Caenorhabditis elegans: one gene and its partner. The protein of the gene in region 2 interacts with the protein of the main gene of each other region in a pairwise test. Each region holds a gene or a part of one and is shown on either strand. Other genes may lie near its edges.

Region 1 (3,755 bases), on a different chromosome or scaffold from region 2:
CGCTTAAAATGAACATTTTGAGATAAAACTTCACATTAACTTTGTCTTTAACTTTGAAAACATTTTGAAACAGAAACAATTTTAATCCTAAATTTTTTTCAAATTTCCCACCAAAAAGTGCCTTCTCTTACACTTTTCCCACTGGGATCCTCAGCGGCTCCCTCCAAATCGCGGCTCATCAATCTTGCTCAAAAAAAATTTATTTGCACCCACCAATTGTCTACCACCTCCGATGGGAGACGGGTGCTTTGATTAATAATTATGATATTTTTGGTTTGGCTTTTTTTGGTTTTACTGTTCTTTTCGAAAATAGAAGTTTTGGAGCATTTTTATATTTTCCATGAATCTCGCTATTAAAAAAAAGACAATTTTGGAAAAAAAATTTGCCGTTTCAAAAGTAACATATAAACAAATAAATTTTTTAACTTGCAGTATGGTGTTTACTTGAGTAATTAGATTTGTTTCCATCCTAAACTTTCTTCCACGTGGCATATTACGTTGAATTCTTACAGAATAATTAAAATTATTATTAAAAATTTGAAAAAAATGACTTTTGGATGAAAATGTTTGACTTTTCCCAAAATTTCATCTGCATTTTTGTAATATTACTCGGTTTACTAACAGTTCTTCATAATTTACGGTTTTTTTTTCAAAAAATGATATTTTTTAAAAAAAGCTTTTTTTTGAAATTTTTCTACGAAAATTCCGAAATTGTGCAGAAAATCGTCAAATTCGTTTTCAAAATTTTTCAATTAATTTAGGAATTTTTGATTGTTAGAAAGTTTCTCAATGAAAGTTTTAAAGAATTACCAATTTTTGAATGTGAGCTGTACTCAATGTAGAAGCAAATTTTACGATAATAAATGGATAACTTGAAACATTATTTTTCAAAAAAATTTCTACAACTGCTGAAAAGTTAATTTCTTAAGAGGAAAATGTATTATCTTCGTCGCATAACGTTTTTTGTTGCTAGAAATCCGGAATACGCGTTGATTTCTGGAAAAAATTGTGGAGTTTTTTGCATTTTCGAAAAAACAAATTTCACCGTTTCAGAAATGTCTTAAATCGTTTTGTTTTCAATTGAAAAACGCTTCGATTTTGAGAAAACTGGCCGTTTCAAGAATTATTCAAAAATCGGTCTGTTTTGTTCTCTACTCTACTGACAAGTACTGTTTCAGAATGTTCACAAAAAAAGCTAATTTTATAATAAAACTAATTGTACTACGATGCAGTAAATATATATTTTTCGTATGAAAATTCTCACTTCACTCAAAAATTGATTAAAATTGTCATAATTAATTTTGAGATTTCTATTAAAACTGCTAATTCAAGGTTTTAACAGAATTCTCCATAGAATACTAAAATTTACAATTATTCCTGAATGCATATCAAAATGTTATTTTTTCTATTCGGAACTAGATCACGTAATTGTTCGTGAAATTTTTGCAAAATAAATCGAAAATGTGAATAGGTGAAATTTTGTTTTAAAAAAAAATTTTGAAAAAAATTCACTTTTTCACATAGTACTCATAAGCACTGTTATAAAACCATATCTGATGTCTCATTGTTAACATTTTCTCTCAACTCTCCGTCCACTTTTTAAATAATCAATAATTCCTCCTCAAAATCCCAACATTTTACAGATGATCTCCTCGGGGTGGATGCAAGAAATGGAGCCCATACCAGAGGAGGGAACCGAGGCGGATGGCTCCGAGTGGGGAGCTATGTCGGATACCGCTAAAAGGACGATGCGAAAGAAGGAGGTGTACACTTCGGAACAGATTAATACGCTAGTTAGGTTAGTTTTTTTTTTTGGAATTTTTATTTTTGGGAGGGGTTTGAAAGAGATCTCAAAGTTTGAATTAATTTTGAAATTGAAAAAAAAAGTTTTGCAGTTTCTGGTTCTTGAGAAGTAGTACAAGGAAATAGAAAAGCACTTATTTTTGAAATCGAACTTCAAAACCAGAAATGAAAAATTGATCAAAAACTAACTTAAAAATTGGGCATAGAACATATTTATTTGAAGAAAATTAAATTTTCAGCCAACAAAATGTTCTAAAGTTTCAAGTTCCTTAGATATCACTGAAAATATCTAAGCTCTTTTTGACATCAAAGAAAAACAGATAAGTTTTTATTATATATGATCTCGATTTTTTTCTCTGAATAATCTCACACATTCAAATTGATACTCTTAAAATTAAAAAAAAACAAAAGAAATAACTGATTGCGTATTAAAAAAATAGTTAAAATTCCGAAACTAGAAATTAAGTTTAAAAATTAAAAAAAAAACTGTTTCTAGTTCTTAAGATATAACTGCTCCAAAATAGAAGGGCAGTCTCATAGGGTCTCGTTGACAAGCTGAAACGAAAGTAGTGTATTTTTTCAAAAACGAACTAATTCTGCATAACAACAGCAAATCTCGGCTTTTAGCTAAAAAATCTAACACTTATTTTTACTTTTTCTAGTTTCCCAAATAAAACCTTTAATTTTCCATTAAATATTGATTTAAGTGCCTGTCCTTTCTAGTAGTACTGCATAGCTTACGATCTTCTCTTTAAAATATTTATGAAAATCCAAAATATTCAAAGCAATAATACAGAAAGTGTTTTGTTCTACAATTTGGTATCAACTTTTTTCTACTGTTTTTACACCTTAAGATAAAACTGCTCTGAATTGAGTGACATTCTCGCTCTTGAACAAAACGCAGAGAAATCAACCACTTTTTGACCGTTGTTCCACCACTTTTTGTAAAACAAATTACTGGTTAAAAGTTGCCTATTTCAAAATTTTCTTTCTGAAAAGTAGTAAAATATTTCGTTAAAAAATAGAAAATCGGAGTTTGTCAAGGAAAAAATTTTGGAAACTTTTTTCCGACTGTTTCTATTGCTTAACATATTAGTTCTCGAAAATAAAAAGGCAGTCGGAAACCAGATATATTTTGAAAGTTGATAATTTCTCTAAAAGCAACCTAATTCTGCATAAAGTCGGTATTCTAAAATTCTCGACTGCGAAAAATAAATTTCTACTGTTTCAAATTGTTTAGATAAAACTACTTAAATTGATTAAAGATAGTGCCATTAATTCATCCGATATTCCCATCTCACCTCTCTTTAATTCCCTCCAAAAAAGCCGTTTCAAAACCCTAACCGCCGCCAAATACAAACAGTCCGTCCTATTTTTTCCGTTTTTGCATCGGATTAGTGTTGTGTCTTCCGTCTCTCCAAATCCCACACTATCTCTCAGCCAGGTCTACAAAATGTTTATTATTGTCATTAATATTCGTTTCGGCTATGTTTTATTGGTATATCATTGGATTGGAACGACGACGCTAGTGGTCATTTATTGCAACTTTTGAGTTGCGGCAAAACTTTAGAAATTGAAAAAAATAGTTTCGGTTTCAAGGGTTTATACTTTTTTCCGAACATTTTTGGTTATCAGATCCAAAAATAGTTAAATCTAATTTTTGTTTGACAATGTATATGCAACTGAAACTGCAAAACCAAGTTAAAAATTTTTTAATGTAACCAGCCTACCATAAATAAGAATAAATTGAACATTTGAATGTTTTAATAGCAGTTTTTATTTAAGTGTATTCCAAGTTAATTTTCTTCAAAATTTGCAAAAAAAATGTTTGCTTAATGAAAGTTTTATCGAGGCCACTTTATTTTGGCAAAAAAAACTATTTCAATATGTTTTTTAACGACTTGCAAGTTAAACTCATATTATTGTTACTTAACCTTTGAAATAAATTTGAC
Region 2 (3,755 bases):
TGACTTTGAGTAAATGAAAATGGATAGTCTCGTTCGATTTAGGTGTCGAAGTTAATGCCCCGAATGAAAGAGGAAAAGGTGGATTAGACGATACTTTCATGAGGAACAACAGACAAAAAAAGACAGTGTAAAAACTGAAAGAAAAAGAGATGGTATCTCGATAAAGGTTCCCACACAACTAATCTGATCTTATAGATACATAGAGAGAGGATTACGTCTATTTTATTCAGCGCAATATTGTGTGCACAATAACGTTGCAGAAGAACACATATGACGATAAATAATTGACGTTGGTTAATAGACGTATTCTGACTAGGAAATGAGGGCACCGTCACGTTTCCGGGAAGTATATGCAATAGGAAGACTGTTTCAGTCTGTTCGCACCTTTTACTGGTTGCACCATCTGGGCAGCTGTGTAGCAAAATTAAGTGTCTAATCTGTTTTTAGAGTATTGATAGGTGTGAAAACTTCCAAAAAACTAAAAAAAAAAGGTTACGATTTTGAACTGGAATTATAGTAATTGCAAATATGCTTGGTTCTGTCATCAATTGCAAAATAAAGGTTTGCCAGTAAGAGTACGACCTCAAATTGCAAGTCGTTTGGCGGGAAACAAGAAGTGAACACGGCAGGGTGCCAACATTCACACTTTCGTCGCAACTTGCGAGAACAAAACCTGGTTTAGTTCTGCGTACCCACAAAAACCAATTACTTGTACATTGCTATTAGGAAAAACTATTATCGATTTTCAACATGTGATTATTTTTAATGCACCACGTAAAGCTAATTTAAATCTACCAAGTGAAAAATGGAGTTCCGTTGAATTATATACATTTATTGTTATTACTTGAAATCGTTCTTTCCTAAAGTTAAAAGCAACTGGGAAGCGTTATTTCGAACCAACTCTTTGGCTGATTTTCAAGACTGAAAAAAATAGCGAGGTTTGTTTATGATTTCTAGGGTCTCATGGACTGCGAATATTGAAAATGCGAATACTTATTCAAATAATGTGATGCGTACTTCTGCTTTCTGCCAAGATTTTAGATCAAAAATTAACTACGACTCAAAAACTAGGTGAAAGAACAAGTGTGTGCTGGAGCAAATTGATGGATACTTGAGAGAATGAGTGAATCCGCGCGGAAACATTTCCCGCTGTCTCCGCCTTCACTGCCCTTGTTCAATGTAAAACCAAAAACAATGCAAAGTATAGTGGATGGGAAGAGGAAGAAGTATTGGGCAGAAAACATGAAGAGGACACAAACATCTACTGTACGAAAATGATTAAACTTTGAGAAAACGGAAGTGATCGAAACAATTTTGACTAGTTTAATCATACTTATCGAAATTTCAGATAAATGATATTTTGAAATTCGACACCAACAAGAAGGTGAACATTGTGCTTTGTAATCTAACAAATGACAATTCCGGCAGAGGTGCCAATCATTCCTACATTCATTCCGTTCGAACTGACATGTTACACTGCCAACGTTCGCATATTACCCCCCGTTGAATTATCCTTGAATCCACCTTTCCCCTGTTCGTGTTTTACACTCATGTGCGGGAAACTCGGCAAAATTCACATTAGCTCACCTCGTCTCGGAGTTGTGATAATCATCCGCTTCGAAACCTGAGAAAGTTCAAAACTTTAAAGAAAAAATTGAAAAAAGTGTAGAAATAATGCAAGTCATGCATTGAAGTTTCCTAACAGAAAGAATACATAATGGAAGATTGAAAAATGAATGTTTTCTTCTCTTATTCACATGAATATTATCACAACCAGACACATAGCCAGGATAAATAAAGTAAGGTGGAAGTATTTGGTATTTACGGAAGCTTTCAAAGTCAATAAATTATGTTACTATTATCTTCATTATCCCAAACCGTGATCCTCGAAGAATCCTTGTGGAGTTTCTTCTTCTTGAATGAGATCTTGGGCAGCAATCGCCTTCAAAACTTGTTTTTTACTGGTTTCCTGGATTTCACCAGCCAGTAAAAATTCGTCGAGTATGAAGTAAGCTTTTTCGAAGTTGAAGATGATATCCAGCTCACAAACACTTCCAAAATATTTGTCGAGGAGTTCTACGTAACGATGAATGACTTCCAAAGTGATGAGCTCGTTGTCGTTTTGTTCGATGGCGCAGCAGAAATACAGAGACGCGTATCTGAAATTGTTGAGATTAAAAATTGAACGAATTGTTAAGTTTTTGTTTCATTTATCACAAAAATGTCTATTAAACAACTAAATTTGACGCCAAAATATTTTTCATGAATAAAAAACGTAATAACTTCGGATTTAGGTGTGTAACTATAATTTTCAAGAAATTTTGATTATAAACTTGTAAGTTATTTTCAGAAGGAACAATTTTAAGGCATGACAGGAAATGGGAGTTGTTACTTTTGAATATAAAATACGAACCGTTTGTAGACAACTTTCAAATCCTTGTATTCGAGGAACGCACACATTTTCGGTTTTCTCGCCAGAATTTGAGTGATGAGTTCGCGGCAAATTTTCTTCTTTTGCTGAAAATTGAGTGTGAAATTACACATATGAATAGGAAATACACTTACCTTGTCGGGGTAAGCAGTGTACCATTTCTGCAGCCGCAGTTTGCCCTGGCGACTGAAGAGAAGCATGTATTGCATCATGTTTACTGAAAACAAGAGTATGAACAATCGTTTGCAAACTTTAAAACGCTGAAAATACTTAAAAATCAATTGAAAAATTAGATTTTCTGAATAAAACAGACATGTGGCTTCGTCAATAAAAACAACGAAGCTCCGAAAATACGAAACCGCGCGTTGTTTAGTTCTCACCAGAGCGCGCTTGCATTGTCATCATCAACGCTGTATTTTTTTAAATCATTCTTCGTTCTACTTATTTTATATCTTTCAATTGTTTTCTTTTTCAAACGTGGACTTATTATTTTTCATATAAAATCATTATTTTCTAGAATGGGGCAACAACAGTCAGGTTTCGGTGGAAGAGGAAATGACCGCGGTGCCGGAGATGGAGAGAAGAAGGAAAAGAAGAAATATGAGGCACCGATTCCATCTAGGATTGGAAAGAAGAAGAAGGGGTCTAAGGGACCTGACGCCGCTAGCAAACTTCCAGCTGGTAAGTTTCAATCTAGTGTGTATTTTAACTGATGATTCGGTTTTAGTCACACCACATGCCAGATGCCGTCTGAAGTTGCTGAAGAGCGAAAGAATCAAGGATTATTTGTTGATGGAGCAAGAATTCATTCAAAACCAGGAGCGTTTGAAGCCACAAGAGGAGAGACAAGAAGAAGAGCGCGCCAAGGTGGACGAGCTCCGTGGAACACCAATGGCAGTCGGATCACTTGAGGAAATTATCGATGATCAGCACGCCATTGTTTCAACTGTAAGAATCAATATATCGATAATATTTTCTTATTTCAATATTTAGAACGTCGGAAGTGAGCATTACGTCAACATCATGTCATTCGTCGACAAGGAACAACTCGAGCCGGGATGTTCAGTCCTTCTCAACCACAAGAATCACGCCGTCATCGGAGTTCTCTCCGATGATACAGATCCTATGGTGTCTGTCATGAAGCTCGAAAAAGCACCACAAGAAACGTATGCCGATGTTGGTGGTCTTGATCAGCAAATTCAAGAAATTAAAGAAGCAGTTGAGCTTCCACTGACTCATCCTGAATACTACGAAGAGATGGGAATCCGGCCTCCAAAGGGAGTTATTCTATACGGTTGTCCTGGTACTGGAAAAACGCTACTTG

The links. Proteins that work in one complex are often made in the same cells at the same time.
Region 1: the proteins of picc-1 (region 2) and jac-1 interact in binary tests that used the Caenorhabditis elegans proteins (3 or more experiments, as listed by UniProt).

Annotation. Positions count from the first base shown.
Region 1 is NC_003282.8:16,024,736-16,028,490, reverse strand, and holds the start of jac-1 (Fibronectin type-III domain-containing protein), read left to right. Parts: upstream 1-1,643; coding exon 1,644-1,798; intron 1,799-1,937; exon of another isoform or gene 1,938-1,962; intron 1,963-2,058; exon of another isoform or gene 2,059-2,079; intron 2,080-2,102; exon of another isoform or gene 2,103-2,123; intron 2,124-2,335; exon of another isoform or gene 2,336-2,356; intron 2,357-2,501; exon of another isoform or gene 2,502-2,522; intron 2,523-2,684; exon of another isoform or gene 2,685-2,711; intron 2,712-2,862; exon of another isoform or gene 2,863-2,883; intron 2,884-2,920; exon of another isoform or gene 2,921-2,941; intron 2,942-3,069; exon of another isoform or gene 3,070-3,093; intron 3,094-3,439; exon of another isoform or gene 3,440-3,460; intron 3,461-3,723; exon of another isoform or gene 3,724-3,747; intron 3,748-3,755. UniProt on the Caenorhabditis elegans protein: May act as a positive modulator of hmr-1 function during epidermal morphogenesis. Required for proper localization of other junctional components, such as pac-1.
Region 2 is NC_003283.11:6,016,863-6,020,617, reverse strand, and holds the start of picc-1 (PAC-1 interacting and coiled-coil domain-containing protein 1), read right to left. Parts: upstream 1,625-3,755; 5' UTR 1,613-1,624; coding exon 1,588-1,612; intron 1-1,587. Other genes in the region: aps-1 (AP complex subunit sigma), read right to left, coding at 1,868-2,159, 2,414-2,517, 2,566-2,643; rpt-2 (putative 26S proteasome regulatory subunit 4), read left to right, coding at 2,950-3,112, 3,159-3,379, 3,425-3,755. UniProt on the Caenorhabditis elegans protein: Linker protein which helps to recruit the Rho GTPase-activating protein, pac-1, to adherens junctions.